Cricetulus griseus: one gene and its partners. Each later gene encodes a partner of the first gene's protein in a complex. Links are inferred from orthologs where the notes say so. Each region holds a gene or a part of one and is shown in the gene's direction. Other genes may lie near its edges. The genes, in order: nucleoporin NUP188 homolog, Nup160, Cetn3, Cetn2, Nup107, Nup205 and Nup85.

Region 1 (4,374 bases):
CCAGATCTCATAACGGATGGTTGTGAGCCACCATGTGGTTGCTGGGAATAGAACTCAGTATCTTTGGAAGAGCAGTCGGTGCTCTTAACCTCTGAGCCATCTCTCCAGCACTCCATTAGAAAATCTTAATGTGGTGCAACTTTTCCCTATTAAATACCCTTGTATTTCTACTTGGCTCCGTATTGGTAATTTCCCACTTTAATGTGCCTCCTCAGAGGTGCCTATTACCAAGTCAGTACAGATTCTAGTCTTTTCTATTCCATGAGTTCGATGCTCTGTAGCTTGATTCTGTGCCCTCTTTTGGGGGCGGGGGGCGTGTGAGGGGTTTTGAGACAGAGTTTATCTGTATTGCTTTGGAGCCTGTCCTGGAACTCGCTCCATAGACCAGGCTGGCTTCGAACTCACAGAGATCTGCCTGCCTCTTCCTCCTGAGTGCTGGGATTAAAGGCATGCACCACCACCTCCCGGCTGTGCCCTCCTATCTTCAGGGTGGTTGGACAATCAATGCCTAATATGAATTCCTTGCTCCTGTCTTACATACCTCCCTAATGCTGGGATTAAAGGCATGTGATCCCAGGTGCTGAGGTCATCTGTGTGAGCTGTTTCTCTTTCGGACTGGATCACTCTTGTGTAGATCTGGGTGGTCTTAGACTCACAGATTAAAGATGTATGCCTGGCTTCTATGGCTTGTGGCTGACTTTGCTTTCTGAATCTCAGTCAAGCTTTAATAAATCATAAATAATATATCACTACACTTCCTTATTGTCATTCTTCCTTAAGTGTCATGAATGGGTTATTCCTGAATTATTTTACTAAATACATTCATTAATTGATGGGTGTTTACTTTACTTTTCAGGATGGTACTTAGGACCAAGTCTGAGAATGGGATTCAGAATATCTTCCTTTTGCAGATATCTCATCTACCTCACCTATGTCCAGTTGGCTAGGCACACCAAGGTAAGAGCTCCAAAGGTCCTACTAATTGAGAATCCTCTGTCTTCCAGCCACACGCCCAGCCTTCCTTCCCTCTGCATCTGCAGCCTGGCATATACAGAAGCTGGACAAACAGTCATCAGTATCATGGGGATTGGTGTGGACACCATTGACATGGTGATGGCTGCTCAACCCCGCAGGTAGGGCCTCCTCTGTTCCTGCCCCATTTCTAGAGTGTGTGTGTGTGTATCAATAATATAAATACAACTTGTTTAGTATGTTTGGTGTTGCTTATATAATTTCAAGCCTGCCTAATTGGTATTGAATAATCAGTTAAGGGGCTAATCTTTGGAAAAGACTGTAATAATAAGTCGTTACTCCAAAGCCGCACAAGCCCCTCCGTCACGTGGGCGCTTTCCGCCAGGCCGCCTAAGTTCCGCACACCACCATGTTAAGGTCCCAAGTAGCACAGAGACTTATTAGGTACAAATGCTGCTTGGCCAATGACTAGGATTTCTCATCTGCTAGTTCAGTCTTAATTATCATAAATCTATATATTTTATAAGACTTATCTTACGAGGATGCCTTCTGCTGGTGCCCTCTCTTGCTGGCAGATCACATGGCGGCTCCAGAGCAGAAACCAGAAGGAAAAGCACTAGAAAGGAACGACTTCCTTCTTGCTCTTCCTTATATGAGTCTGCCTGCTATGTCATGTCCTGTCTGGATCACCACTTCTTTACTACATTTCCCAGAATCCTCCTTTACTCCTAGTCCTGCCTAACTTGCTGCCTCATTGGCCAAACAGTACTTTACTTATTATCCAATAAGACAAACACATACACAGAAGCACTTCCCCCATCAAAAGACTATTTCTCCTGCTCTTAACATACCTTACTTACTTGTAGTTCTTTGTTTAAGCATGGAGCCCTGTGAGATTTCCCCCTTCCCTTCCTTAGCATGTCTATTGGTGTGGTATTCCTTCAGGTCTTGTTTAAGCAGCCATATTGTTAGGGTGAAGCTTCATTTCATTTCTTTAATACACAGTATCAAAACTGCTTTCCTGGCCCTTGCAGATTCCTTTTAAAAAAAATTATTTTGTATTTCCTAGGCTGTAGCTAGTGTCTACTGATTAGCCTCTTCTCTTTCCTAATCTGGATTTGGGCCCCTAGAAACTAGTGGAGAGTCTTGATTCATGAAAATACACATGCTATGAGTGAAACCGTGTTGTCTAAATTAACTGTGATTTCCATTTGCACCCTAGTGATGGGCCAGAAGGTCAGGGACAGGGGCAACTGCTGATCAAGACAGTGAAACTGGCATTCTCTGTCACCAATAATGTTATTCGGCTGAAACCTCCTTCTAATGTGGTGTCCCCGCTAGAACAGGCTCTCACACAGCATGGTATGTATTTCTCTTCCTCAGCTACATTACTGCCTATAAAGACATATTTTATGCCCTATGTTTGGACATTGGGAGATTCCCTAGACTTGAAAACAAGGGGACTGAATCATACTGTATTCTGGCCTACTGTTGACAACATAGGAAGATGGCTGGAGGCTGGAATCAGATTTCCTTTCTTCAAATTTAAGTTTTGGCCAGCTGTGTGAAAACCTCAGGCATATTCATGTTTTACCTTGGACTTCTCATCCAGCATGGCATAATAGTAAATGCCAGTATCCTTCGGAGACTGAGGCAGGAATAAAAGGCCAGCGAGGACTACCTAACAGGTTGAGGCAGAGGCAGGCGGATCTCTGTGAGTTCAAGACCAGCCTGGTCTGCAAGAGCTAGTTCCAGGACAGCCTCCAAAACCACAGAAAAACCCTGTCTGGAAAAACCAGAGAGAGAGAGAGAGAGAGAGAGACGGAGGGAGGGAGGGAGGGAGGGAGGGAGGAGGGGAGGGAGGGAGGGAGGGAGGGAGGGAATAGATAACTGAACAACTGCATTGACAACACACAAAGGAGATAGAAAGTGTGCCTCCCCTGTGCCTATAATTCCATCACTCCAGAGTTAGAAGGGCCAGAGCCAACTGCTGGCCAAGACAGTGAAGCTAGCATTCGCTGTCACCAGCCCCTGACAGCCTGGTGTATATAACAAGACCTCTCAAAAGAAACAAAAAAACTTCCAAAACACATTGGCTCATATCACAATGTGACTTTAAATTGGTTTAATCTTTGGCTCATTCTCATTTTTAGTAATGTTTTATATCATGTCTAAGACCATTTATTTAATTTTTTTTTTTTTTTTTCCATTTGCAATGCTAGGTGTTGAACTCAGGTCCTTATGCACAGTAACAGGTGTTCCATCCACTATTGAGTGACTGCTCCAGCCAAATTATTTTGTTTTCCTTTGAGACATAGGCTGTCCTTAAACTGTATAGTCAGAGGGGCCCTTGAACTCTTTTTTGTGATTTTTTAAATATTTATTATGTTTATGTGCATTATGTCTGGGAGTCAGCTCTTTCTTTCCACTTTGTGGGTTCTGGGAGTTGAACTCTGGTCATCAGGCTTAACAGCAAGGACCTTAATACTCTAAGCCATCTCATTGACCCCCTCCTCCAGTTCTTGATCCTATTTTCTTCACCTCCCAAGTGTTGAGACTGCAAGCATGTTCTTCCTTGGCCAGCCAGAGAGTGAGTGAGTGAATGAGAGAGACAGAGAGAGAGAGAGTGAATTAGAACACATACTTTGTCAGACTGTGGGACTTGCTTCCCCTTCTCCACCTTGTTGGTTTTGGGGATTGAATCAGGTCGTCAGGCTTTGCAAAGGGCCTTTATCCACTGAGCTGTCTCACTAGCTTTCCTGCTTAAGGTTCAAGGCTTAAGGTTTTTTCTTTTTTTGAAGTTTCAGTGTAGTGGCTTTTGTAACTTATTTATTAAACAGTATTTCCTTAAAAATATATGTTTGGCCAGGAGTTGGTGGCACACGCCTTTAATCCCAGCACTCGGGAGGCAGAAGCAGGTGGATCTCTGTGAGTTCGAGGCCAGCCTGGTCTACAGAGCAAGTTCTAGGATAGGTTCCAAAGCCACAGAGAAACCCTGTCTCAAAAAACAAAAAACAAAACAAAACAAAATCTTTGCCATTAATGCATTGGCCACTTGGACTTACTCTGGCACAGTGGACAAATGTTTTGGAAGAGTTCTAATAGGCACCCTGCTCTTGTGTTTTCCTTGCTTCAGGTGCCCATGGGAACAACCTCATTGCTGTCCTAGCCAAGTACATCTACCACAGACATGACCCAGCTTTGCCACGTCTGGCCATCCAGCTGCTGAAACGTCTGGCCACGGTAGGATCTATGTAGCAGTTAGAGTAGGGATGCGGGCTTTCTTTGCAGCTCTCCACTACTTTTTTAAAGATCTCCTTGTAGTGCTTGATATGGAACCCAAGACATTATACATGTTAGGGAAGCAGTCTGCCATGAGTTACAGATCTCTATCCTCCTTGA
Region 2 (4,374 bases), about 56 Mb from region 1:
TGGGTGCTGGGGATCAAACCTGGATCTTCTGAAAGAACAGCAGGTGTTCTTAATCATTGTGCCATCCTTCCAGCCTGGCTCTGGTCCTGAACTGATCTATTCTTGCCTTTGGTCTGTGACTCACCCCTAAGAGGTCCTACCACATCTTGATAGTGTCCTGAAGACTAAATCTTTAACATATTCAAGATCTAAACTAGCATGTTGACATAGACCAGTGAGTATATGCTAAAGATGTTTTAAAATGACAAATACTTAGAAGGTATTTTAAGAAATACCTTGCAGGCCAGGCGTTGGTGGCACACACCTTTAATCCCAGCACTCGGGAGGCAGAGGCAGGCAGATCTCTGTGAGTTCAAGGCCAGCCTGGTCTCCAGAGCGAGTGCCAGGATAGGCTCCAAAGCTGCACAGAGAAACCCTGTCTCAGAGAAAGAAAGAAAGAAAGAAAGAAAGAAAGAAAGAAAGAAAGAAAGAAAGAAAGAAAGAAAGAAAGATACCTTGCAGAATTGTATAAAGTGGCAGGCAGTATCTGTGATAGGTATAATGGGCAGCGCAGGCAGTAGAGGTGATTAGAATTATGAATTTAAATTCAGACATAATGACTGTCGACAGAACATTTTGGCTCCCTTGTTGTGACTTGGATTTAAATTAAGCGCCCTCCTTCCCCTCCCACACATGCTGCTGCCAGTTGCATTTGTGTCTTATCAGACAGAATCTATTGAGTGTCAGTTCTGATTCAGATACTTCTCTAGGTCTGCAGATATCCAAGTAAACATGGAAGTTACCTCTACACTCAAAGTACTTATTGCCATTTATTCAGAAGCTCTCCTTGAAGAGTAATAGTGCTCAACATGCAGCTATTTTTATATTTTTAAGAATATTAATATTGACCTTTACACAGCAAGAGCAAAACTCATAAAATTGCTATTTTTAAAATATGCTAAAAAGTAATAGAAAGAGAAATGTGCTTATTTATTGTTTGTTTGGTGCTGTAATGTGCATGGATACCTCGTTCCTGAACAAGTGATGGGTGGAGTTAATTTTTATGTAGTAGAATTTACCTTTTGTTTTTGTTTTTCAGGACAGGGTTTCTTTGTGTAGTTTTGGAACCTGTCCTGGAACTCATTCTGTACACCAGTTTGGCCTTGAACTCACAGAGATCCATCTGCCTCTGTCACCCAAGAGCTGGGATTAAAGGCGTGAGCCACCATCAACCAGCAGTAAAATTTATCTTAAGTAAAGTAGGGACTAAGAAAATGGGATGTATATTTAACGTTGCTGTAATGATATTTAGATTTTGTTACACTGTTTTCCTAAGTCTACATAACTTGTCCTTAAATGGAAAAGTGGTCTGAGCCAGACATGGTGGTGCACTCCTTTAATCCCAGCTCTCAGGAAAACAGAGGCCGGTAGATCTCTGAGTTGGAGGCTAGCCTGGTCTATGTAGTGAGTTCAGGGCAGGCAAGGCTATGCAGAGAGACCTAGTCTCAAAAAGAGAGAGAAGAAAAGTTACCCAAATTGTCTAATCTTTTCAAATTTGGAGAGTTCATTAAGGCACTATTATCGTCTATTTTATTGCGGTAGTCATTGAGAAAGAAAAACTTTAATTAAATCTCTCTTTTAACAGGAAGACTTCTGGGGATACATTGGAGCTGGTGGAGGAATCACTGGACATAAATTTGTTGAATAATGCAGTTCGCCTAAAATTCCAAAATTGCAGCATCTTACCCAGTGGAGTTCATGTCTCTGAAACTCAGAATCATGTGATAATCTTGATATTAACCAATCAGACAGTGCACAGGTTAATTTTACCACACCCTTCCCGTATGTACAGAAGTGTAAGTTGATTGTTGTGTGCAATAACTTGTTTCCTATATTATGCTAGCTATCACAGATTTAGGACTGGAATGATATCTTTGAAATGGAAAGAATTTGGATTCCTTGTTAACCAATCATTCTTTATAGTTATTGTTTGAAATAATTAGGCTTGGGGATGTTATTCAGTCATAGAGTATTTGCCTCTCATGAACAAAGCCCTGAGTTCTGTCCTCATAAGTCTAGCTTGTGCTTGTAATCCTGCTACTGAGGAGATGGAAAGAGAAAGATAGAAGTTCAGGATCATCCTAGAGTTCAAGGCCATCTTGTGCTTCATGAGGCCCTGTCTCAACAACAAAAAGATTAAACATTCAAGTTGATAAAATAGTTTTCTTTCTTTAAAAAGGATAGTTTTCATTAGGTACTACAGTATACATCTGTAAGCCATTAACAGGGAGGCTGAGGTAGGAGGATTTAAGTCTCAGAGCAATCTCAGCTGTACAGAGGAGGTTCCTGGCCAACCTGGGCTACATAGTGACAGCCTGACTAGCAGGGACGGGGGGAAGGTTTTTTGTTTGTTTGTTTTGTTTTTAAAGACAGGGTTTCTCTTTGTAGCTTTGGAGCCTGTTCTGGAACTCACTTTGTAGACCAGGCTGGTGCCTAACTCGAAGAGATCCAATGCCTGCCTCTGTTTCCCAAGTGTTGGGATTAAAGGCATGTGCCACCACTGCCTGGCAGGGAGGAAGCTTCATCTCATGCTCAACAATTTTTTTTGGAACATTTGTTTTTATACCTATGAGTGTTTTGCCTGTATGCATATAGATATACCAGATACATGCAGTGCCTTTGGGGGGCAGAGGGCATCATATCCCCTGGACCTGGAGTTACAGGCAGTTGTGAGCTACCATGTGAGTGCTGGGAACAAAACCCAAGTCCTCTCTAAGAGCCACAGGTGCTCTTAACCACTGAGCCATCCTTCCAACCCATCAATATCTTTTTAAATAAACATTTTTAGTAATTGAGAGGAACTCAACAAAATTCAGGTTATTTCAAAACAGATTCTTTTTCATTACAGGAGCTGGTAACTGAAAGTCAAATGCAGTCAATATTTACTGACATTGGAAAAGTTGATTTCAGAGATCCTTGCAACTATCAGTTAATTCCAACAGTACCTGGACTGTCCCCAAGTTCTACCACCTCTGCAGCCTGGCTTAGCAGTGATGGGGAGGCTCTGTTTGCTCTTCCGTCTGCTGCTGGCGGCATCTTTGTTCTTAAACTACCTCCTTATGACTTACCTGGTAAGAATGGGAAAGGAGCATGAATTTATCTTTAGTTGTCAATGTTGACATTAAAACAGGCATTCCATCACATCCATTGTCAGTGTAGGGGTTGAGTCTGCATTTTTCCTGCTTTCATTATTTCTTGCTTGGTCCCTGCTGCATACCTTTATTCAGTGGATGAGGAACTAGATGGGATGCTGGGTATGGGAAACAGATTACATGTATATTAGCCTATTCTAAGTTCAATAGTAGACATAAATTATTAGTTGTTCCACCCTCATACTGAAGTACTGTATTTACAGAGAATGAATTTTGGGACCAAGTTTGACAACTGATCCCTGTTCCAAGTCACCACTGTCTCTTGCCTACATTATTGGATTAATGTCCTAAATGTCTCCAGATCTGCCCTCCCATTTCAGGAACTTCCCAGGCAGATTGATATAGTAAACATTGGTTAGGGGAGACTAGAGAGATAGCTCAGCAGTTAAAAGCACTGCCTGCTCTTCCAGAGGACCCGGGTTCTATTCCAAGTACTCATATACCAGCTCATAACTGTCTGTAATTCCAGTTCTACTGGATCTGATGCCCTCTTCTGGACTTCAAGGGCATCAAAGTGTCATGCTTATATATTTGCATGCAAAACACCCATACACATAAAAAGCAAAATCATGTTACTTCAGTGTTCATCATGATCTGAATAAACCCAGTCTCCATACATTGGCTCACAGTGAGTGCCCCGTTGTCATCTCTAACCTCATTAGTTCATTCTTTTCCCTTGCTCTGTATACCAGCTACATGCCCCTTTGTGGTTCTTTTTTTGTTTTTCTCAAGACAGGGTTCCCTTTGCAATTTCTTGAAGACACGATACATATTCCTAACTTGGAATTCCCCCTCAGTGTTTTTAGTCTTTCATTCTGTCTCCTCCATGAAGCCTTCCCTAACCATCCCTCCACAGCACCAGCAATACTCACTTTTGTCCTTCTCACTATTAATTTAACTCCATTTCTCTCATCCTCCAGCAATAGAATGTTAAGTTTCATGAGGGCAGTTTGTTTACCACTGAATCTCCAACACTTAGAACTACTGCCACATGAAAGTACCTAGTGATTAAGAATGGGCTGCTATCTAAATGGAAAGACATTTTTCCTAAGAATATAAAAAAGATGCTGTTTTTATGGATCTGGTACTGATTCAAAGTATTTTAGTAGGAAAGTACATTTAAGAACCTTGTTAGGCCGGGCGTTGGTGGCGCATACCTTTAATCCCAGCACTTGGGAGGCAG
Region 3 (4,374 bases), on another chromosome or scaffold:
TTGTTTTATTTTGGTTTTCATTGTTGAAGACTACTTTAAGCATTGCTATTTATAGTTTTGTAAAACATCTTTTACCTAAATACAATTTTAAGAATTGTAATTTTTATATTTTAATACTTAAGAACAGAGTTTGATACTACCTAGACCTTAGCTTTATGGACCATTTGTTGATGCCTAAGGACACTGACCCAGGGTATTTCCAGATGAGCCTGGCACGTCCTGAGCTTTCCCCATTGTAAGAAAAAAGAATTAACTAATGTCCATTCAGTGCAAGGGTAGTTAGCATCATTCGGCTAATGAGTAGCAGGTGTTTCAGGAGTTGCTGCCTTTAAAGTAAGAGTAGAAGTAAGGTGTTTTTATACTTCATCTGTTCCTGGCTTGTACTACTTATATTTTAAATTCTATCTAAAATCCGATATTGTATTTTTCCATTTTGATCATTTATCTAGCACTGAAATTTTTGCATTTGGTGGGAAGAATGGGGTTAGTTAAAATTACCAAGAAATTGTTTTTAGGACCTTAGATTTAGGTATAGGTGACAACAAACTCTGGTTCTGTGATAGAGGGAGATTGTTAGCTAGGGCCGAAGTTGTCAAACTGTAGGCCCGGGACTGAATTTGACTGCTTACTCTGTACTACCACCCATTTATTTATGCTGCTTTTCTGCTACCAGATTGAGTGAGTAGTTTAGACTGTGAGCTTAAGTCTCCCAAAACCTAAAATGTTTTTCATCTGGCCCTTTATGGGAAATGTCTCTCAAGTCTTCATCGGAGGAACTAAGCCTTTGCATAGGGGAATTTTAATTTAAATCTTCAGGAATCTAAAATTGCCAAGAAGATTGTAAGAGTAGAGGATATGCAGTCGGTGCAGAGAAAGCAACAAGGCTGAGTGGTAATAGATGCTCAGCATGTTGGAGAAGTTTGATCTCATGTGGTCCCCTCTTCTAGAGAAGGTCAGAGCACTGGGAAGGCAGAATTGGGCCAGACTGATAGTCTTAAGTATTGTACTAAAATTTACAGACTGGGATACCATGTTTTACAAGAGTAGCTGATGAGAAGATTGAAGATGAACTGGAGAAATTCTGAGAAGACAGAAAGTTGTAGACTTTATGGTCAGAATTGCTAGATGAAAAGAAAGGCTTGAGTTTGAGAGTAAAATAAGATAGTGTCTTCAGAGCTGTAGTATCCAGTGGTAACTGGCACTTATGGGATCCAAAGCCTTACCACTATGTTAGAGTGAATAAATGATGCAGTTACCCTTCAGTCAGTGGAGGTCAAGGAGGCAGCAAAGCCCATAGGTGGCTATGGAAGGACTTGAAGGTCCAGTATCTATGAGTTTGAAATAAGTATTGTATGTTTGGATAGGAACTTTCTAATATTGTCTTTCATGATTTTTGATTTACTTTCAATGTAGTGCTTCAGAATTAGTTGTTTCCTTACATGATTTTTATAACGTCTGATGGGAGGACATTTCTGACAGTGTAGTTAAGTCATGTGTCTCTGTAGTTGGTTATAGTGTGCTTTATGTCAATAAAGTGCAGTACTGCAGTATGAAAATTAAAACAAAAAGTGGTTGAATGGATAGAAATTTGGAGTTTTGTGAAACAGGTGATACCTTGACTGTGTGGGTATTAACTGCTTTAAGTCCTCCTACTGGATTGTAGGCAAGAGCCATCATGCCTGGTTTGTTTCTATTGAAAAAGATATTTCTTTCAAATAGTACTTGTAGAACAGAAATGGAAAGTGAAGGTGTGGAAGAATATCACTGTAAAATACTTTATGTTGGATGACGCTCTAGTTGCTCAGAATTTATGGGCAGTTACAAGTCCTAAGAAAGCTGAATTCTAAAGGAGACTATTGGTAGGTGATTATATAGACACATCTATCTGAAATTCTAATAGAGTGTCAGTGGGTAAGTGCTTGTGCATCTTGGCGTCCCATCTGTTGTTTCTTTAAGTGCATTAGTATTTTCGGCAGTCTGCCTTTCTGGTTTACCTGTCATGGATGTTACTTAATCGATGAAATTTCATAACACTTTTTTCTTGTCCTGCTTTCTTGTTGGGACTGAATTCAAAATAAGTTGAGTGTGTGCCATAGAGTTAAGTGTGGTATTTTATTTTGGTGTTATGGCTGTAGGTATGCCAATTCTTTTTACTGAATATTTATGAGCTTTGATTTGCATACTTAGAGTAATATACTTCAATTAGTTTCTTGGAAACCTTTTTTTGGATAAAATTAATGGCTAAAAGATAATTTTGGATATATGTGTAGTTGATATGTACCATTAGCTTGACTGGTGCTTATTCAGCCAAATACAAATGAAATAGCAATAGACAACAACTTGTAGAAGACTTAAATTGTATTTTTTCCACTTTGGGCATATTAAACATTCCAGTACTTCCTGGCTATAGGCATTTGAAATTTTCAAATGAATCTATAGATCCCATTAGGACCAAATTACTTTTGATGGTGTGATGAAAATAATAAATGTCTTTCCCTGGAGCAGAACAGCATGTGGAGTTGCTTCAGAACTGTTTACCTAGATATTTTGAGAATTCTATTAAGCAATATCAAATTTTATAGATGTCAATTTTTATTGACTATTGATTAAAGGCTTATGATGTTGAAGTATACATACTTAGTATGTTGATATGTGGCTTTGTTTAATATATTAAGTCTGAAATGATTCATTTCTATTTAACTAGTTTGAGAATTATTATTTTGTTATATTTAAAAAAGACATGATTTAGACCCCCTTCCAGGGCTGTGGGTTGTGTGATCAGGTTTAATTGTTTTAATCCATCTTTAGTGTTGCTGAAAGTCAACAGGTTCTTTTAATCATGAAGATGCTGATAGCACTTGCACGTGCTAACTTGTTTTATGCTTGTATTAGTGGTGGCAATATCTTTGATTAATCCCTACATCTGAGTTGGGTTAAATTTGAGGAAGAATCAAGGTGTCACTTGGCTAACAGTTTTCACCTACGTAGTGTTCATTGTTCACTTAAACTCAGTGGCCTGATAGAGGTGGAATAGTAACTTTTGAAAAAATTGTTTTATGGACTTAATTATTTTATGTGTTATATTTACTGATATGAGTGTCTTGTTCACATGTGTCTTTGCATCACAGCAAACGTGGTGCCTAGGTCAGAAGAGGGCTTCAGATCTCATGGAACTGGAATTATAGACTCTTGTGATTTGCCATGTGGTTGCTGGGAGTTGAACTCATATGGTCTTTAAGAACAAGTGGTCCTAACTGCTGAAGCATCTCTCCATGCCCAGTTTAATTCTTAGTAATAATGGGATCAATATATATATATATATATATTGTGTGTGTGTGTGTGTGTGTGTGTGTGTGTGTGTGTGTGTAGTCTCTTTTTTGGCCTTTGTACTTACATTTGTAATATTTATTGACACTAAAAGATTACCATTTAAAGTCTGGCTTTGGAATTAGTATTATCTCTGAGTTTGTGATCTACCTTTATATTTAACTTTTAGATGGAATGTTGTCAGACTCACAGATCTCACCTCATTTAATAGCTGATTTTTAAAGATGAATGCTCTCTGACTCAAAAGTTTCTTTTAACTCTAGTGACAGACTGGATATTGGAAAGAGACCCACATGAAGAGATACTGAAAGCATTTAAACTATTTGATGATGATGATTCGGGTAAAATAAGCTTGAGGAATTTGCGACGCGTTGCCAGAGAATTGGGTGAAAATATGAGTGATGAAGAACTTCGAGCTATGATCGAAGAATTTGATAAAGATGGCGATGGAGAAAGTAAGTTTTGCCTTACTTTTTTTCTAAAATCTGTTGAGTTTTCAAGACTCCAAGCAAATTTTCTCTCCCTTCTCCCCCACATTTTCTTTCTCTTTTGTTTTTGAAGATGAGCCTCATGTTGCCTTGAACTTATTTCAAGTTTGATCTTGAACTGATAATCCTTTTGCCTCAGCCTCCTGAATAGATGGGAGTTCAATTGGGTGCCAAACTCTGAGCTTCTATTTATACTGAAGCAGATCTTTAAAACAGCTATGCAAGTTATGATATGAAATATTACACATAACTTCTCTGAAGATGAAATAATACCAAAATGTAGCTGCTTACTAAAATTTCAGACTTTCATGCTTTCCCTCTCAACCTGCTTGTACTTTGAACTATTACTAAATTAGTTGATTTTCTTTCAATCAGTTCTAATTTTTTTGTAAACATTTTTTCCTGCTACTCTGATTCAGGCCCTGATTTCTATTTAAAATATTACTGAATTCTTTCCCTGACTGACTATGAGGTGCAGTGCTCAGTGTGTCTCCCACAGACACATAGGTGTATCTTATAGTCTTCCCATTGCCTTCTGGACTTAGAAGTCTCCAATCTG
Region 4 (4,325 bases), on another chromosome or scaffold:
CGTCTACATCATTTATATGTGTTTATTTAGATGATCCTGTTTTCGTTGTAGGTTGCAATGAGGGCTCTGGGCTTTGAACCTAAGAAAGAAGAAATCAAAAAGATGATAAGTGAAATTGATAAGGAAGGGACAGGAAAAATGAACTTCAGTGACTTTTTGACAGTGATGACTCAGAAAATGGTAAGTTAGTTGAGATAATGAGCATACTTCCCATCCATAATGGTAGATACATGGGAATCTAGACATAAAAAGAACTTCATCCAATAAAATCTATACCATTCACATGATTGAGCATTGTATTTATAATTAAGAGGATCCCTAATTTTCATTTGGCTTTCTTTAGGGTTACGGTATCACAGAAATCATTTTACCTTGTCTCATATGACCATATGATAATCACAAGCATTAAAACATGTTAACACAGAGATTTTCATATGCTTCTCATTTTTATTTTAATATTATTAAAATTAGATTAGCATACAATAAATCAGGTATTGTGACATTTTTCGGACAAATGCTTCTCATTTTGACAATTCAGTATGTACAATCACAGGCACAAGAATTTTGAGCTTTAGAATAGATAAGGTGTTTTGGTACTTCTAAGGTTCCTTTCATCTATTCCTAGTTTCTTAGATCCTTTTAGCAGACCAACTTTGCTCTTACATTGGCCTTCTGGCTTATTGGTGTGGCTCCTTCTCTCAGTATACCTGAAGAAAGGTTACCCTTTCAAGTTCCTCAAAGTGTTTCCCAGGCACAGGTTGGGAATTGTTTTGAAATCACCGTATCTACATCTGCATTCATGTATGTGCATGTGTGTACTGATTTAAGAGATCAGGAAGCTTGGTATTCTGCAGCTCTCTAGCAAATCCATTTCATACTCAAGATTGGCTCCTAGATTGCTCTAACTAGTTCTCTAGTTGTAACTCCTGGCAAGAACCTTCATTAAACATTTGAGGTTTAAATGCTTTGGAAAATTCTACTCTTTCTGTTAGAGTACTCAGAGACCCAGTAATTCTTTGAAGTCCATTGTGCAAAATGCCTCTCTTATTAAAAATGCCCTTATAAGTATATCTCTAACTTCTGTTAGCATTAGCAGTGTATTTTCTCTAATTATAACCCTATTTGCTGCTTTTAAAAATGTAAAAAAGAATCTAGAATCTCCTTGGTCTGTACAGTGTTTTAGATACAATTATATTTCCTTTGTAATCCCAGAGTTTATGTTAAGTTTACTGAGTTTGTTTTCTTTTTCTATAATGGGTCTTACTTTTTTCTGTAACTGAAGGCATATATCACAAGGGCTATCACCAGGACCATGTGATGATGTGTGATGGGGGCCAGGGAATTAATCGAAGAAGATAGTTTCCCTAAAACTACCCCCTTGGCTTTAGAACTGGGGAAAGTTCTGAACAAGACAAAGCAAAAGAAGGGCAATCCGTATAGATACCTAGTAATATCCAGTGTTGGGTGTTGGAAAGATGAGCCCCAGCTCATGTCAGAAGCCCTTGTCTTCTACCTGTGGAAACTGTCCAGCTGCCCTAGGACTCTGTCCTCCCTACATGTCTCATTGACCCCTCAAACCAATCCTTGTGCCCGTTTATCAGAACTTCTTGGCTTTTCCACCAAGCTGGCATCTGTTCTTACTGAATTATGAGCTGATTATGGAATACATGTTAGGATAGGAAGTAGACAGAGAGTACATTCCACCGTGGACCAGAGAACCTGACTTGCCTGCCTTCCTAACATGGCCCAGGTCAGGTTTTTGGAAACAAAAGGATGACCAAGAAGTGGCAGGACTGTAGGATATGAATAACTATCTGTTTTCTGTTCTACTAAAGTCCGAGAAAGACACCAAAGAAGAAATCCTGAAAGCTTTCAAGCTCTTTGATGATGATGAAACTGGGAAAATATCATTCAAAAATCTAAAGCGTGTGGCCAAGGAGTTAGGCGAGAACTTGACTGATGAAGAACTGCAGGTGCGTAAAGCTTCAGTTAGAAACTCGAAACCTCACGTTGGAGCCCCCTGGCTTTCCCAGGTTCTATTTTCTCTACTAGGAAAACTTCTTATGCCTCTAGTGATAATTAAATGCCCATGGACCCTGCTTCTGGAGTACACATGTGCAGCTGAATTTCCTCTTTTGGGTTTCAGGCCAGGGTTACTTTTCAATTGATACATTTGACAATATATGTGATTTGGTTTCAAATAACTATCATAAAAAGTGGCACACTCACATTAGATGGACCATAGTTATCTTTCCTTATAGCATTATTTGAAGTTTCTTTTTTTAAATTTATTTTTATTTAAATTAGAAACAAGCCTGCTTCACATGTCAATCCCAGCTGTCTCTCCCTCCCCTCCTCCCCCACATCCCACGAAACCCTCACCCCATCCCTGTTCCTGTACCCAAGGAGGGTGAGGCCCTACATGGGGGATTGCCAAATTCTGTCATATCATTGGGTCAGGGCCTAGGCTCTCCCCATGTGTCCAGGCTGGGAGCACATCTCTCCATGTGGAATGGGCTACCAAAGTCCATTAATAACCCCAGGGATAAATACCGGTCTACTACCAGAGGTCCCATAGAGTGTCGAGACCTCCTCACTGATACCCACATTCAGGGGGTCTGGATCAGTCCTATGCTGGTTTCCCACTATTAGTCTGGGGTCCATGAGCAATGCCTTGTTCAGGACAGCTGTTTCTGTGGGTTTCACCAGCCTGGTCTTGACCTCTTTGCTCTTCACATCTCCCTCTTTGCAACTGGGTTCCAGGAGTTCCTTATCTAACCTGTTTTCAGTTTAGTTTGTGACTTAATCTAAGATGAACCCTTACTGCTGTGCAGGAAATGATTGATGAAGCTGATCGAGATGGAGATGGCGAGGTCAATGAGCAAGAGTTCCTGCGCATCATGAAGAAGACCAGTCTCTATTAAGATCACTGCTTCTTTTTCTACTTCAAGCACATGTGACTAGATTTAGTGCCTGCCATTTTGTGAAATACGGCTTTTGAGAACCCTCCTTCCCCAACCTGTGGGTTAACTAGCCATGCCCCTGAATCTATTTTTGACTTTTGGAAGTTTCTTTGATATTAAGTTCTTTGTACATTTCCCTGCTGACTAATTAAACAGGGCAGAACAAGAGCACATAGTGGGGAAAGGGTGTGAAAGTGTGACTGCAGCCACTCCACTTTCCATTAGTTCACATTGCTTATGCATTTTCACACAGCTGCAAACACACAATGGCTTCTTAGATGTCCATGTAGCCATGTCACAATAAACAGTGGTTGTTCTAAAATTGTTCTAGTTTTTAGTTGACACCAGAGTGCAGTTTTTTCCTCACATAAAACCCAACGAATGCTTGTTATGGCATTTAGATATGTGTTAATGCATTTGTTTTGTTTTAAAAATAAAACTTTTCTTAATTTAAGCTCTCATTCTTTAAAGGGATGAGTGTTTTTAACCTTTAACTGTGATTTCATCTTGTAAACAATTCTGTTGAGGGCAGCCTCATAGATATACAAAATTTGCTATCAGCCTATGGACAAAAAAGGAATTAATTCTTTGCTACTTTTCTGCCATGGAAAGTTTCTTGCTTTCAAAAGTTATTTTTACAACTGATAGGATTTCCATATGACCTAAGCCCTAAAACTTCTTCCATCAAACTGTAAAGCTTAGAGAGTCTTCTGGGTAATTTGTGCTTGGACAAAAAGGAGAGAGCTAGACAGTAGTAAGATTCAGGCAATCTTGTGAGCTTATTTGCTTATAGCATCTCATAGCATCTTAGGATTGGGTTCAGAAGAAAAGGGGTAATATCCAGGAGCCCTCTAAGCCCTGCATAGCATTGCCTATGAGAGAAACCCAATTATGTGGCTTTAAAGTCAACTCCATGGTGAAAGTAGGGAACAAGGTGGGCTGAAGGGAAATAGAAAATGAACAATGATTGAATACTTATTGATGCTCATATGAGAAAGAAACGATGGGTTTTTAACTTAATGGAGGCATTCTAGTCTTCTGATGTGTGTGTGTGTGTGTGTGTTCGTTCCATGTATATGGAACAACAATAAAAGCCAGATAGGTGATCATGCTTGTAGTACATAGGTGGAGGAGTCAAGAGGATTGCCATCAGTTCAAGGCATGCTGGTGCTTCATAATGAGATTCAGGCCATTTTGGGTCACAAAATCTGACCCTGAGTTAAAGAAGCAAAAAAACAAACAAACAAACAAAAAACCAAACAACAACAACAAAAAAACCAAAAAACACCAACGGAACCACACACAACTAGATCAGTTTGAATCAGATCATCAGTGAATACATATATATATGGGGGGGTGTGG
Region 5 (4,374 bases), on another chromosome or scaffold:
GGGATCAAACTCAGGTCCTCACACTTGTACCACAAGCACTGTACTGGTGGAGTCATCTCCCCCATACCCGGGAAAATATATTTGTTGCTGGTCTACTTGCTCTGTGTTTACAGTTCCTGGCCTTTCACTTGTTACCCCACCAAGCCGAAGCTTACTAAGACACCCAGATATTTCCTGCATTCTCGGAACGGAAGGGAAGTCTCCCCGGCACACACAGTCTTCTGGGTTCTTGGGAAATCTATCCATGGTATGTAGAAATAAATAATGCACTTAAGTATTTGGCTTAAAAGCCTTTTAATGCGCCGGGCGTTGGTGGCGCACGCCTTTAATCCCAGCTCCCAGCACTCGGGAGGCAGAGACAGGTGAATCTCTGTGAGTTCAAGGCCAGCCTGGTCTCCAGAGTGAGTGCCAGGATAGGCTCCAAAGCTACACAGAGAAACCCTGTCTCAAAAAAAAAAAAAAAAAAAAAAAAAAAGCCTTAATGAAAGTTGAAGTTACGGAGAGATATTTGAACAAAAATCTAATATTGGAGCATGTCATGTCACAGAAGGAAAAATGACAGCAGCAAAAGCAACAGTTAGATATAGGTAAAATACCTGAATCTGGCTGTTTGCTAACCAAATGAAATGTATTATGAAACTGGTGATGGCTGTTAAAGCCAAGCCCTGTTTTGTTGGTTGTTTGGTTTTGGTTCTGGATTTCTTTCTTTCTTTCTTTCTTTCTTTCTTTCTTTCTTTCTTTTTTTTTTTTTTTTTTGAGACAGGGTTTCTCTGTGGCTTTGCAGGCTGTCCTGGAACTAGCTCTTGTAGACCAGGCTGGCCTCAAACTCACAGAGATCCTCCTGCCTCTGCCTCCCAAGTGCTGGGACTAAAGCCATACACCATCACACCTGGCCATTTTTAATTACAAAGAAATTAATGGCTCATGTTCATTAGTGGCTCAGTGGGTATACTGCTTGCCTCATAAGCATAAGACCTGAGTTCAGATTCCATGCACTAATGTGGAAGCCGTGTGTGGCAACACTGTTACCCTAAAGCTGGGGGCTCCTATGGGGGCATGGGAAAAGACAGGCAGAACCTGGAATTCACTGGTCAGCCAGTCTAGCCAAAACTGAGCTCCACATTCAGTGAGAGGTCCCGTCTTAAAACTGAGGTGAAGGGTCAGATAGCAGAGGCCCTTAATCCCAGCACTCAGGAGGCCCAGATCTACAGAGGGAGTTCCCTGTTTTAAAGAAAACAAAACAAAAACAAGAAAGTGACTAGTCAAAGATGAGAGACATGGTAAGGAAGAAGACTGTCCACCTGTGGGATCTGACAGTAAGCAGTATCCAAATTGAACTGAATTAGAGGACCCCTACCCATGTCTGCCTCTGAATTGATTCCTCTTGCCCACATTGGTGACAGTAGTGCTCTGTGCTATGAAAATGCAGAAGAAGCCAAGCTGGGCTTTTCTATCCATGATGGAAGAGAATATTTAGGGGAAGGATGAGACAGTCTTCAGGAGTCACTATGGAACAGTACTGAAAGCAGCAGAAGAAATGTTATATACTATGATGTGCAGTGGCTTCACTTGGTTGTTAAATATACGAACTAGGAAAAAAAATACATTGTGTTGAAGAAGGAAACAAAAACTGCTATATTAGTAGACTTTCAAGGCATATTGATTCCAAAATCAAAATGGTTCTGTCTTTGGCATTGTGGTTTATTAACAGGCATGGAGATTTTTATGCACATATGACGTTATCTGGACTAGGTATTTCCTGAAGGGTAGTTTTGCCTTTTAACTTTGCTTTGTCAGAGCTTAAACCCATCTCCTTTTTTTTTTCCTCCATTTTGGGCATCAGAGCCTGGGGCTCAATGGTAGTATATGCCTGATGTCCCAGCACTCAGAAGACAGGCAGGAGGATCTGAGGTTCAAGATCATCCTCAGCCACATAGTGCATTGGAGGTGGGCTTGGGCTATATAAGACTTGTTGTAGAACAAAACAAAACAAGATTTAAGATTTATTTTTTATGTATGTAGTGTTCTGCCAGCATGTATGCCTGCAGGCCAGAAGAGGGCACCAGATCTTATCACAGGTGGTTGTGAGCCACCATGTAGTTGCTGGGAAGTGAACTCAAGGCCTCTGGAAGAGCAGCCAGTGCTTTTAACCTCTGAGCCATCTCTCCAGCCCCGTAAAACAAAAGATTATTTTAAAGCTAAAAGAATAATCCTCAGATATTGGTTAAGAGCATTGACTGCTTCTCTAGAAGGCTCAGGTTTTGAGTCCCAGCACCCACATCTCCACACACTACCTCTATCTCCAGCCCAGGGGATCCAGTGTTCTCTTCTGGTTTCTGTGAACACCATACACAAAAGTGGTGCATAGACACACATTCAGGCAACATGTCCAAACACATAAAATAAAAAGTAAAGAAAACTTGTAGCATCTGTAACAAGATCACAGTCTTTTAAAATGAAAAACATGTAGGATGGAAAAAATTGACACTCATTATTTGCTTATTTATGATGATTGCTCCATTGCTTTCCTGTGTTTATTTTTTAAGGTGACAAACCTGGATGACAGTAACTGGGCAGCTGCATTCTCATCACAGCGTTTGGGCTTCTGCACAAACGTGGAGCCCCACAGTGTAACTGAGGACGTAAACCTGAGTGCTGTTATGTTACGTGAAGATGACCCTGGAGAGGCTGGTAATGGCTTTGAGATTTAAGTAGCTTGTTACTTCCACATCAAGGAAGCCTTTTCCTGGACTTAATCAAAATATGTTTTGTTGTTGTTGTGGTTTTTTGCTGGGCAGAGTAGTACAGTCCTATAATCCGGCACTTAGGAGGCAAAGGCAGGTGGATCTTTGTGTATTTGAGACTAGCCTAGTCTGAGTAGCAATTTCCTGCCAGCCAGCCTGGGCTACATAGCGGGACTCTGTCTAAACAGCAGGTGTGTGGGGGTGGGGTGGGGGCGAATATATCAAACTTAGGAAGTAACAACTGCTAGTAAAAATGGAGAAATCTAAACATTCTGAGGACCTTGGGCACAATAGCATAGTCCTGTAATCCCAGCACTCCAGGGGTAGAGGCAGGAGGATTCTTTTTGTTTGTTTGTTTTTTGGGTTTCTTTTTTGTTTGTTTGTTTGTTTTTGTTTTTGTTATATTTTGTTGTTGTTGTTTTCCAAGACAGGGTTTCTCTGGAGGCAGGAGGATTCTTATGTGTAGAGTGGTGGTTACCAGGGGGTGAGGGAAATATGGACTGGATTAATTAGTTACTGATTAATTAGTTACAGAGTTAAATTTTACAACATAAAGAGTTCTGTGGCTAGGTGTTGGTACAGTTAACACCACAATATGGATGTACCTAAGGCCACTGAACAGCACACTTAAAAATTGTTAAAAATTTGTAGAATCTTTTGTTGTTTGTTTTGTTTTTGAGACACAATTATCTCTGTGTAGCCCTGACTATCCTGGAATTCAATAGACCAGGCCTTGAACCCAGACATCTGCCTGCCTCTGCCTCCCAAGTGCTGGGACTAAAGACAGGCCCCACCATCGCCCTTCAGCAAGTCACTAGTTAGTAGAAATACAGTTGGGTTGGAGGGAGGGAAAGGACTTGTAGCTATTTTTGTGTGTGTGTGTGTGTGTGTGTGTGTGTGTGTGTGTGTGTGTGTGTGTTTTTGGGGGGGCGTTGGGTTTTCTAGACAGGGTTTCTCTGTGTAGCTTTGGAGCCTATCCTGGCACTCACTCAGTAGACCAGGCTAGCCTCGAACTCACAGAGATCTGCCTGCCTCTGCCTCCGGAGTGCTGGGATTAAAGGTGTAGGCTACCAATGCCCGGCTATTTTTGTGTTTTTAAAGCATTAGAATTTCTTTAAGTATGTGGCTTATCCTTTGTCCCTTTTTGTCTCCTGTGTTTTAGCATCCATGAGTATGTTCTCTGATTTCCTGCAGTCTTTCTTGAAGCACTCTTCGACCACAGTTTTTGATCTTGTTGAAGAGTATGAAAATATCTGTGGTAGTCAGGTAATTAATTCCCTCCATGGTCAGTAATTTCAGTGCTGTGTGTTCATCTGCTAATTCCCATTCTGTGCTGAGGTTGCAGGGGAACTGGTTAGAGGACCTCTGCTTTTTACATATTCCGAGGCTGTAGGAGCCTTATTTGGAGGAAAAGAGGAATCCACTCTTTAAAAAGGAAAGTCTGAGACTAGAGAGAGAGGACAGCTCAATGAGAAAAAGGCTGACCGTAGTCATGGATGCCTGAGCTCAAATCCCCACCACTTGGTGGCACATAGTTGTGGAGAGATCCAGGAAGCTTGCTGATGAGCAAGTGTAGCCAAAAGAGCAGCTCCAGGCTCAGTGAAAGACTGTTCTCACTAAATAAGATCGA
Region 6 (3,084 bases), on another chromosome or scaffold:
CAAGGTAAGCTGTTCTCAAAACAAATGAGCCAGGAAAGTGTCTACATTTTACTGCTCTGAAAAGCCAGCTTTTTTTGTTTGTTTTTTGCAGCAAGGTCTTGTTTCATTTCCCAGAGAGGCCCTAAAATCCTGGGCTCAATTGATCCAGCCTCCTAAGTAGCTGGATTGTGGATGTACACCACAAACTATTCCAAGCCACCTTAAATGTCATGTTTCAGATTCCTCAGTGAGCCGAGTGCTGGAGAGCCAAATAGTAAACACAACCGTTTTTCTGTATTTTACTTCTTGCCCCTGGGAAGTTTTCTGGAGCCTGCTTATTTGTTGTCCTTTGTTTTCCTATAGTTAAGTTTGCTCCAGCTGCAGTCATGTCAGAGCTGGTTTTTCAGAAGAATAGATAGAAGCCATTGTTCTTGTGCCGGGGGTTCTGATGTGGGTGAGCATTCGTTAGACTCCTAAAGGGAGGGCGAGACCTATCCTGGACTGGGATAGGTCCCAGGCTTCCAGTGCTCAAAGCTGAGTTTAGGTGCTAATCACTGTGTTCTGTGTGCTGCTGCCGGCAGGTGCCTCTGCTGTGCCGCAGGCGCATGTTAGCAAAGCTGCTCACTGTGTCTCTTATCTCTAGATTCCTTTTCCACAGAACCCAATCTGGACTTCAGAAGTGGGCTGGCTCTAGTGAGCCAACACGATATAGACCAGGTAAGATTCTGTCCTCATATTCTTTTTTCTTTAAAAGGGAAACTTGGTTTTTTGATAAAAGTAGAGAATAAAAGTTTCTTTTTATTCCCTAAAGGCACTTTTTTTCTTTTTTTCTTTTTTTTTTAAAGAATTCTTATGTGTATATGAAAGTGTTTGTGTATATGTATGTGCACCATGTGTGTGTCTGGTACCTTATTAGGTCAGAAGAGGGCTTCAGATACCCTGGAACAGGAGTCAGAGACAGCTGTGAGCTGCTTGATATGGGTGCTGGAAACTGAATCCTGGTTCTTTGTGAGAATACCAAGTGCCCTTAGCAACTTATCTATCACAAGTCTGACACACAGAAACTTAAAGAAACAAGAAACATTGATTTTTATTTTACTTATGGGTGTTTTGCCTGAAAGTGTATCTGCGAAACATGTGTTTTGGTACCCACAGAGGTCAGAAAAGGGCATCGGGTCTCCTAGAACTGAAGTTTTACATGGTTGTAAGCTTCCATTCGAGTGCTGGGAATTGAACCCAGATCCTCTGAAGAGCAGCTGGTGCTCCTTTTTGAATTAATTTATTTTTTACATTCCAATCCCTACCACCCCACCTCCCATTGCTCCTCAGAGAGGGTAAGGTCTCTCATAGGAAGTCTACTGAGTCTGTCCCATCATCTCCTTGAGTAGCCATTGCTCTTAACCACCAAGCCCCTTAACAACGCTTGGTATGGCCTTGAGGAGCCAGGTTTGTCTGTCTGTTGTGTCTGCTCGTTTATCAGCATCAGCAGTTGTTGCTATTGAAGATAGATACATCATTAGTTTAATCACATTTGTATAGGAATTAAAACCACAAGACAGTCTAAGGTAGAAATGTAAGCTTTTAATTAATTTGGTACCGCATTGCAAAATCTGATAGTGTTTAACTTTAGAAAAATGCCTTTTGTGAATGTACGTGTGGGTGAGGTAGGTATGGGGTAGTGGTGGTGCTGGGTTTCCAGCCCAAGGCCTGGCACATGCTAGGCACACAGTCTGCCTCTGAAGTATACGCCCATCTTATTTTATATAAGAAAGAACACATTGGAATAGTGTAACAGTGTTTTAAATGAAAAGACAAAGGATGAGATACCTGAGAAAACAATGTAATAATAAAAGGTTTTCTGTGTTACCTCCAGCTTCAGTCTGATGCCATCAATGCTTTTGGAGAATCACTACAAAAGAAACTTCTGGACATTGAAGGGTTGTATTCAAAAGTTCGATCCCGCTATAGTTTCATACAGGCTCTTGTCAGACGTATCCGTGGCCTGCTGAGGATATCAAGGAGTTGAGAATTGTGCTTTTACTCTTCTGTGGAAGAGATGAACTGAGGAAAACCATCTCCTTTTTATAGATGACTTTATTTCTAAATTATGACCAAAAGATATTTTGCTATTTCTTTCTTGATATATGGACATCTTTTCTGTAAACCTCTGCCTTATTTCACCCTCACTTGTGAACAATAAAATACTTTTTAAAAAAATAACAAAACAATATATAATCAGTCTTTTGAAATTATTAAGACTCAACATAAAGATGTTTTGATTTTCCCTGGAAAGATTCTGAATGCACAATTAAAGCACAGTTTGTTTTCAGTTGTTGTGGTATGCCTTTTGATGCTGAGGTACTCTGTAGCAGAGTAGATAATGAACTGCAGCCATGTTCATGCTCTGAAAACAGAAATGCCTAAAAAATGCCACTCCTTCTCCTAAAGGTAGCTTTGCCCTTCCTTCCTGCATTTCAAATGGCAGTACAATCTCTCTTGGTTTCTTTGAAAGGATTGTGACAATTCTCAAATTAATCATCTACCTATTTTCTTACTAATGTGGTTACCACTGAGGAAAAAATTACATAATCACCACTGCCCTGTGGTATGTTTTCCCTTCCAGGAGAAACTCTAGCCTGCTACAAAAGAGGATGCCGAGAAGGCTGAATCCTGACTCACGTGAACACAGAGTGTAGCTGTCAGTCCATGGTATTATAGTTGGTGGCTTTTGTTTTAAATTTTCTAATAAAATTTGTCCAGCTTTTTAATCATTGTAGTTAAAATGGCTTGGTCATTGTTATATTTTGTAAGCAATTGGCTGCCCACTAGCTAAGCAGCCTTTAAATAGAAAATGTCATGATAGTAGCCACAAGTCCTGGGGAGATGAGTGAGCATATAACTGGATCCAGTATGTTAAAATGTTAGCCTCCTGCCTGCTGCTGCACTGGCCCTCTTCTAAAGTCTTTTGTGATCCTGGGAGAACCTAGGGCCTCACTCATGGTAGCAAATGTTCTGCCACTGACCTCTACCTCCAGCACATTGTGTGTCCCCAAGAACACAGCATTGGACCAGCAGCAAGATGGCCAGTGCATAATGGTGTTCGCT
Region 7 (4,374 bases), on another chromosome or scaffold:
GTCAGCCTGGACTGCAGATCAAGTTCTAGGACAGGCTCCAAAGCAATACAGAGAAACCCTGCCTCAAAAACAAACAAAAAACAAAAATCCACCCCTCTGTTTGAACCCTGTTGTATGGCATCTATCTCTCACCAGCTGCTTTTCTTAAATTACAACATTGGTTCCCTGACTGAGATGGCTCTCCTGGCGGCTTCTCCTGCCCATAGGCAGTTTGAGGTATGCCAGGACCTTCAAACCTGCTTCACATCCAACAGCCTCTCTTCTCCGGATCTCTCGGTCTTTCCATCCAAACTCGGCATGATTGGTGAGACTCTCCACCTTTCCCACCATAGCTGTTCTTATGAGTGAGGAATCCTCTCCTCTCTCGAGTGTAATTTCTCCCCTTTTGGCCTCCTTAAGTCCTGGTATCAGAAACCACAGCTCGCTCTGGCTTTGAGCTCTTAGCCCCCAACCTTTGTGTGATGACCCACTGGGTGGCCTGTGCCTGTCTGGTTTCTCAGAACCTCAGGCCATTCAGACCCTGCCCCTTGATTGACGATTCACCCAAGCAGCTTGTGCCTTTCTTGCTAGATCCTTGCTTGACAAAAGCCACTGGGTCTTGCTCTGCTCCACTCACTGGGAATAAGCCGACCAAAAATGCTCTTCCCGGCACTTTGTAATCACTGCGTGCTTGAACCTCACCCTCCTGCTCCACCTTCAATAGACCCGCTCTTCCACCTGCCGCAAAGCTGCTTTTTCATTCACTGATGGCTCTGCCTTCCATTCAATACCAACCATTGGTCTCTGGTGGGGTTATCCACTTCTGACCATTGCCCTGCACGTGAGGCTTCCTTTCTGGAGCATGGTCCTTTCCTCCCCTCTGGCTTTTCTCGAAGTCCTGGTAGCTGGGGACTGTGTGTCTCTTGAGCTCAGAGCCCTTGGTCCCCACATTTCAGTGACGCCTCACTGGGAGGCCTGTGCCTGTCTCAAAATCAACCCTGTCTGAATTCCTGGGATGCTAGGAATTGCAGACCCTTGGGTCTTACTTCTCTGCCTCACTCATGGGAGCTGTGTCATCGTCTATACCTCCTTGCTCCCACTGGAATGTTTTTTGGAGAGTCACTGACCATTATTTATTATATATACAATGTTCTGCCTGCATGTATCCCTGCAGGCCAGAAGAGAGTGTCAGATCTCATTACAGATGGTTGTGAGCCACCATGTGGGTCCTGGGAATTGAACTCAGGACCTCTGGAAGTGCAGCCAGTGCTCTTAACCTCTGAACCATCTCTCCAGCTCCCACTGACCATTCTTAATCAGCCATTGTGGCAGCACTACCAGCTGTTGGCCATAGAACTGGAGGCACAAGATTATCAAACATGACCAGGTGATGGTGTGGTGATGGGAAAGGCACCTGATGGTCCCTTTCCAAAGGGCCCTGCCTACATCCATCCTTCTCTCTTTCTTTCTCTCCCCTCCCCCTCATCCCCCTCTTTCCCCTTCCCCCTCTGTCACACTTTCTTCTCTCCTGCTGCTCCTGTCCCTGGAGCCAGTCTCCCCCCTCCTCTTTCCCCTTTTTATGATCCCTTTCCCTAATAAAAACCCTCTGCTTGAACCCTGTAGCGTGGCGTCTTTCTCTCCCACACTGCTTTTCTTAAGTTAAAACAAGATGGTCCTGCCTTGCAGAGACAGAGGACTGACTTGTAAGCTCCTTGCTTTTTCCTTCCCAGTTGCAGGAGATTAAACCCCTCTGCAGTCAGGTTTTCTGCTTTAACATCAGTGTCTGTACTTTGAGTAAAGTGGAACTTGCTGCAGATGAAGCCGGGGTCTTTGTGTGTGACATGAGTCTCTCCCCTCAGCTGGTCCTCTCCTCCTCCATCTTCTTGACTGGGTCCGACTGCACGTGTGTGAGGTAGACAGTTTATCGGCAGATGTTCTGGGCAGTGAGAACCCAAGCAAACATGAGAGCTTCTGGAACTTGGTGAGTATAACGTGGGCAGCCCCCTCCTTCCTTCTGCCTTGCATTCTGCATCCTGGTGCTGTCAGGTGGCTATAGAATGACGACTGCTCCAGGCCTTGGCTCGGCTCTTTTGAGTTTCTGATCCTAGCAGCGGTTTTACATCTTTCTTTGTCTGCTGCAGAGTAGTTTCAAACTAATTTAGCATGAAGGGTAACACTTGCTGTTGGAAAGGAAGTTTGATTTGTTTATAGAGCTGAGGAAGAGAAGGTAAGATGGTCAAAGTGGTTGATGGGGACTAAGGTGGGGATGGAGTGCAGATGAGCACAGTGGCTGTTCTGAGGTAGACTGCTTAGGGCCGTAATGTAAATAGCAGATACTTACATTAGGATTTATAACTGTAGCTCGGGGTGGTGGTGGCAGCGCACGCCTTTAATCCCGGCACTCGAGAGGCAGGGGCAGGCAGATCTCTGTGAGTTCAAGACCAGTCTGGTCTACAAGAGCTAGTTCCAGGACAGCCTCCAAAGCCACAGAGAAACCCTGCCTCAAAAACAAACAAACAAACAAACAAGGATTCATAACAGTAGCAAAATACAGTTATGAAGTAGCAATGAAGTAATTTTATGGCTGGGGTTCCAGCATTAGTAAGATTGAGAACCACCGATCAGGGGCTTGTGGCATCCTAGAATACCTGCCGGCATCTTCGAGATCACAATCTCTAGCATCACCAAAAGAAAAAGAATATCCTTGGTTGTTTTATTTTTGGTTGTTGTTGCTGTTGGTTTTTTGTTGTTTTTTGTTTTCCTTTGAGACAGGGTTTCTTTGCTGTGTGTGTTTGTCTGTCCTGGAACTCTCTGTAGACCAGGCTGGCCTTGACACCTTGACTCACAGAGATCCCTACCTCCTGAGTACTGGGATTAAAGGCTGTGACACCACTGCCTGTCTGCTTTGGGTTTTGAGACAAGGTCTCCTTATGTAGCCCTACTGGTCTGGAATTTTTGTTGTTGTTGTTTTTGACAGGTTTGGGTGGCGTGGTTGCCTATGTTCCCAGTGATGTGGTGCTGGGGATGGCCACCAGCCTAACTCTTAAGTTCAGTGAGAGATCCTGTCTCTAGGGACTAAGTCATAAGTGCTGATCACCTGATAGTCCTCTGGCCTCCTCATGGTACACAACTGTACACACACACACACACACACACACACACACACACACACACACACACACACACACACACACGGGTGTTAAAACATTTAAAGTTGGTTGCCAGCTATCTTTAAACTGACAGTTTGCTAAAGGAGTCATATCTTAGGGTTGTTATTCTTGTGATGAAATACAATGGCCAAAAGCAACTTGGGGAGGTAAGGGCTTAATTTACATAGCCCAGAGTAATAGTGCATTGAGAGAAGCCAAGGCAGGAACTTAGACTGAGTAAGATCCTGGAGACAGGAGCTGAGGCAGAGGCCATAGAGGGGTGCTGCTTGCTGGCTTGCTCCTTATGGCTTGCTCTGCCTGCTGTCATACAGAACTCAGGACCACCATCCCAGGGATGGCCCCACCTACCATGGGCTGGGCCCTCCCAAATAAATGACTAATTGAGAAAATGCTTTCCACCTACCTACAGCCTGATGCTATGGAGGCATTTTCTTGGTTGAGGTTCTAGCCTCTCTGATGACTGTAGCCCATGTCAAGCTACTTTAAAATCAGCCAGCACAGGGTATGACTGGGAGTCACTGCTGGAAGGGAGGAGTTCTTGCTGACTCGGGTCAAGGGCAGCCTGGAGGCATCAGCACTTTGGAGTAGCGAGCCTTCTGCTGGGGGCTCTTGGCTCCCATCTCTTTGCAGGTGACTGTCTTGGTGCTTCAGGGCCGGTTGGATGAGGCACGACAAATGCTGTCCAAAGAAGCTGATGCCAACCCCTCCTGTGCAAGCATGTGCCGCATCCTTGGGGACCTGATGAGGACAATGCCCATTCTCAGTGTATGTGGGAGCCTCCTTGCCTGCCCGGCCTTGGGAGATAGGGATCAGGGAACGTGTAGGTCTGGGGTCTCAGTGTCTCACAGCAGGCCTGTCCCGTCCCGCAGCCTGGCAACACTCAGACGCTGACTGAACTGGAGCTGAAGTGGCAGCACTGGCGTGAGGAATGTGAGCGGCACTTGCAAGACAGCACGTTCGCAGCCAGCCCCCGCCTGGAGGCTCTCTGCAAGGTGTGGGCGGGGGCAGGCCAGGGCTGGGCACTTCTTTGGGAACCTGGCATCCAGGCAGCAAGCAGCTGGATTTTCTTTGGAGAGGGCTGTCCGGTCACTCGGCTGCAAAGGAGGGAGAGCTTTCAGCTTCTAGTTGAGGCCCCCGATGAGATCGGCAGAGTCCTAAGTCTTCTGTGAGGACAGAGCTCAGAGAATGTCTCTCCTCAGATCATGCTGGGGGATGAGGCCACCTT

Evidence for each region.
Region 2: nucleoporin NUP188 homolog (region 1) and Nup160 share a complex: the UniProt entries of both Homo sapiens proteins name them as parts of the nuclear pore complex. The link is inferred for Cricetulus griseus from reciprocal best matches to the Homo sapiens genes NUP188 and NUP160.
Region 3: nucleoporin NUP188 homolog (region 1) and Cetn3 share a complex: the UniProt entries of both Homo sapiens proteins name them as parts of the nuclear pore complex. The link is inferred for Cricetulus griseus from reciprocal best matches to the Homo sapiens genes NUP188 and CETN3.
Region 4: nucleoporin NUP188 homolog (region 1) and Cetn2 share a complex: the UniProt entries of both Homo sapiens proteins name them as parts of the nuclear pore complex. The link is inferred for Cricetulus griseus from reciprocal best matches to the Homo sapiens genes NUP188 and CETN2.
Region 5: nucleoporin NUP188 homolog (region 1) and Nup107 share a complex: the UniProt entries of both Homo sapiens proteins name them as parts of the nuclear pore complex. The link is inferred for Cricetulus griseus from reciprocal best matches to the Homo sapiens genes NUP188 and NUP107.
Region 6: nucleoporin NUP188 homolog (region 1) and Nup205 share a complex: the UniProt entries of both Homo sapiens proteins name them as parts of the nuclear pore complex. The link is inferred for Cricetulus griseus from reciprocal best matches to the Homo sapiens genes NUP188 and NUP205.
Region 7: nucleoporin NUP188 homolog (region 1) and Nup85 share a complex: the UniProt entries of both Homo sapiens proteins name them as parts of the nuclear pore complex. The link is inferred for Cricetulus griseus from reciprocal best matches to the Homo sapiens genes NUP188 and NUP85.

The regions. Positions count from the first base shown.
Region 1 is NC_048599.1:141,983,991-141,988,364, forward strand, and holds part of nucleoporin NUP188 homolog, read left to right. Parts: intron 1-1,004; coding exon 1,005-1,133; intron 1,134-2,194; coding exon 2,195-2,334; intron 2,335-4,108; coding exon 4,109-4,215; intron 4,216-4,374. UniProt on the Homo sapiens protein: Component of the nuclear pore complex (NPC), a complex required for the trafficking across the nuclear envelope. Required for proper protein transport into the nucleus.
Region 2 is NC_048599.1:86,086,279-86,090,652, reverse strand, and holds part of Nup160 (nuclear pore complex protein Nup160), read left to right. Parts: intron 1-1,624; coding exon 1,625-1,835; intron 1,836-2,887; coding exon 2,888-3,110; intron 3,111-4,374. UniProt on the Homo sapiens protein: Functions as a component of the nuclear pore complex (NPC). Involved in poly(A)+ RNA transport.
Region 3 is NC_048595.1:302,238,618-302,242,991, forward strand, and holds part of Cetn3 (centrin-3), read left to right. Parts: intron 1-3,590; coding exon 3,591-3,782; intron 3,783-4,374. UniProt on the Homo sapiens protein: Plays a fundamental role in microtubule-organizing center structure and function. As a component of the TREX-2 complex, involved in the export of mRNAs to the cytoplasm through the nuclear pores.
Region 4 is NC_048604.1:2,890,860-2,895,184, forward strand, and holds the end of Cetn2 (centrin-2), read left to right. Parts: intron 1-51; coding exon 52-180; intron 181-1,835; coding exon 1,836-1,973; intron 1,974-2,834; coding exon 2,835-2,924; 3' UTR 2,925-3,417; downstream 3,418-4,325. UniProt on the Homo sapiens protein: Plays a fundamental role in microtubule organizing center structure and function. Required for centriole duplication and correct spindle formation. Has a role in regulating cytokinesis and genome stability via cooperation with CALM1 and CCP110.
Region 5 is NW_023276806.1:138,575,003-138,579,376, forward strand, and holds part of Nup107 (nuclear pore complex protein Nup107), read left to right. Parts: intron 1-113; coding exon 114-247; intron 248-2,546; coding exon 2,547-2,691; intron 2,692-3,906; coding exon 3,907-4,010; intron 4,011-4,374. UniProt on the Homo sapiens protein: Plays a role in the nuclear pore complex (NPC) assembly and/or maintenance. Required for the assembly of peripheral proteins into the NPC. May anchor NUP62 to the NPC. Involved in nephrogenesis.
Region 6 is NW_023276806.1:192,701,231-192,704,314, reverse strand, and holds the end of Nup205 (nuclear pore complex protein Nup205), read left to right. Parts: coding exon 1-4; intron 5-622; coding exon 623-696; intron 697-1,852; coding exon 1,853-2,005; 3' UTR 2,006-2,308; downstream 2,309-3,084. UniProt on the Homo sapiens protein: Plays a role in the nuclear pore complex (NPC) assembly and/or maintenance. May anchor NUP62 and other nucleoporins, but not NUP153 and TPR, to the NPC.
Region 7 is NC_048600.1:128,167,130-128,171,503, forward strand, and holds part of Nup85 (nuclear pore complex protein Nup85), read left to right. Parts: intron 1-1,838; coding exon 1,839-1,960; intron 1,961-3,779; coding exon 3,780-3,914; intron 3,915-4,018; coding exon 4,019-4,141; intron 4,142-4,348; coding exon 4,349-4,374. UniProt on the Homo sapiens protein: Essential component of the nuclear pore complex (NPC) that seems to be required for NPC assembly and maintenance. As part of the NPC Nup107-160 subcomplex plays a role in RNA export and in tethering NUP96/Nup98 and NUP153 to the nucleus.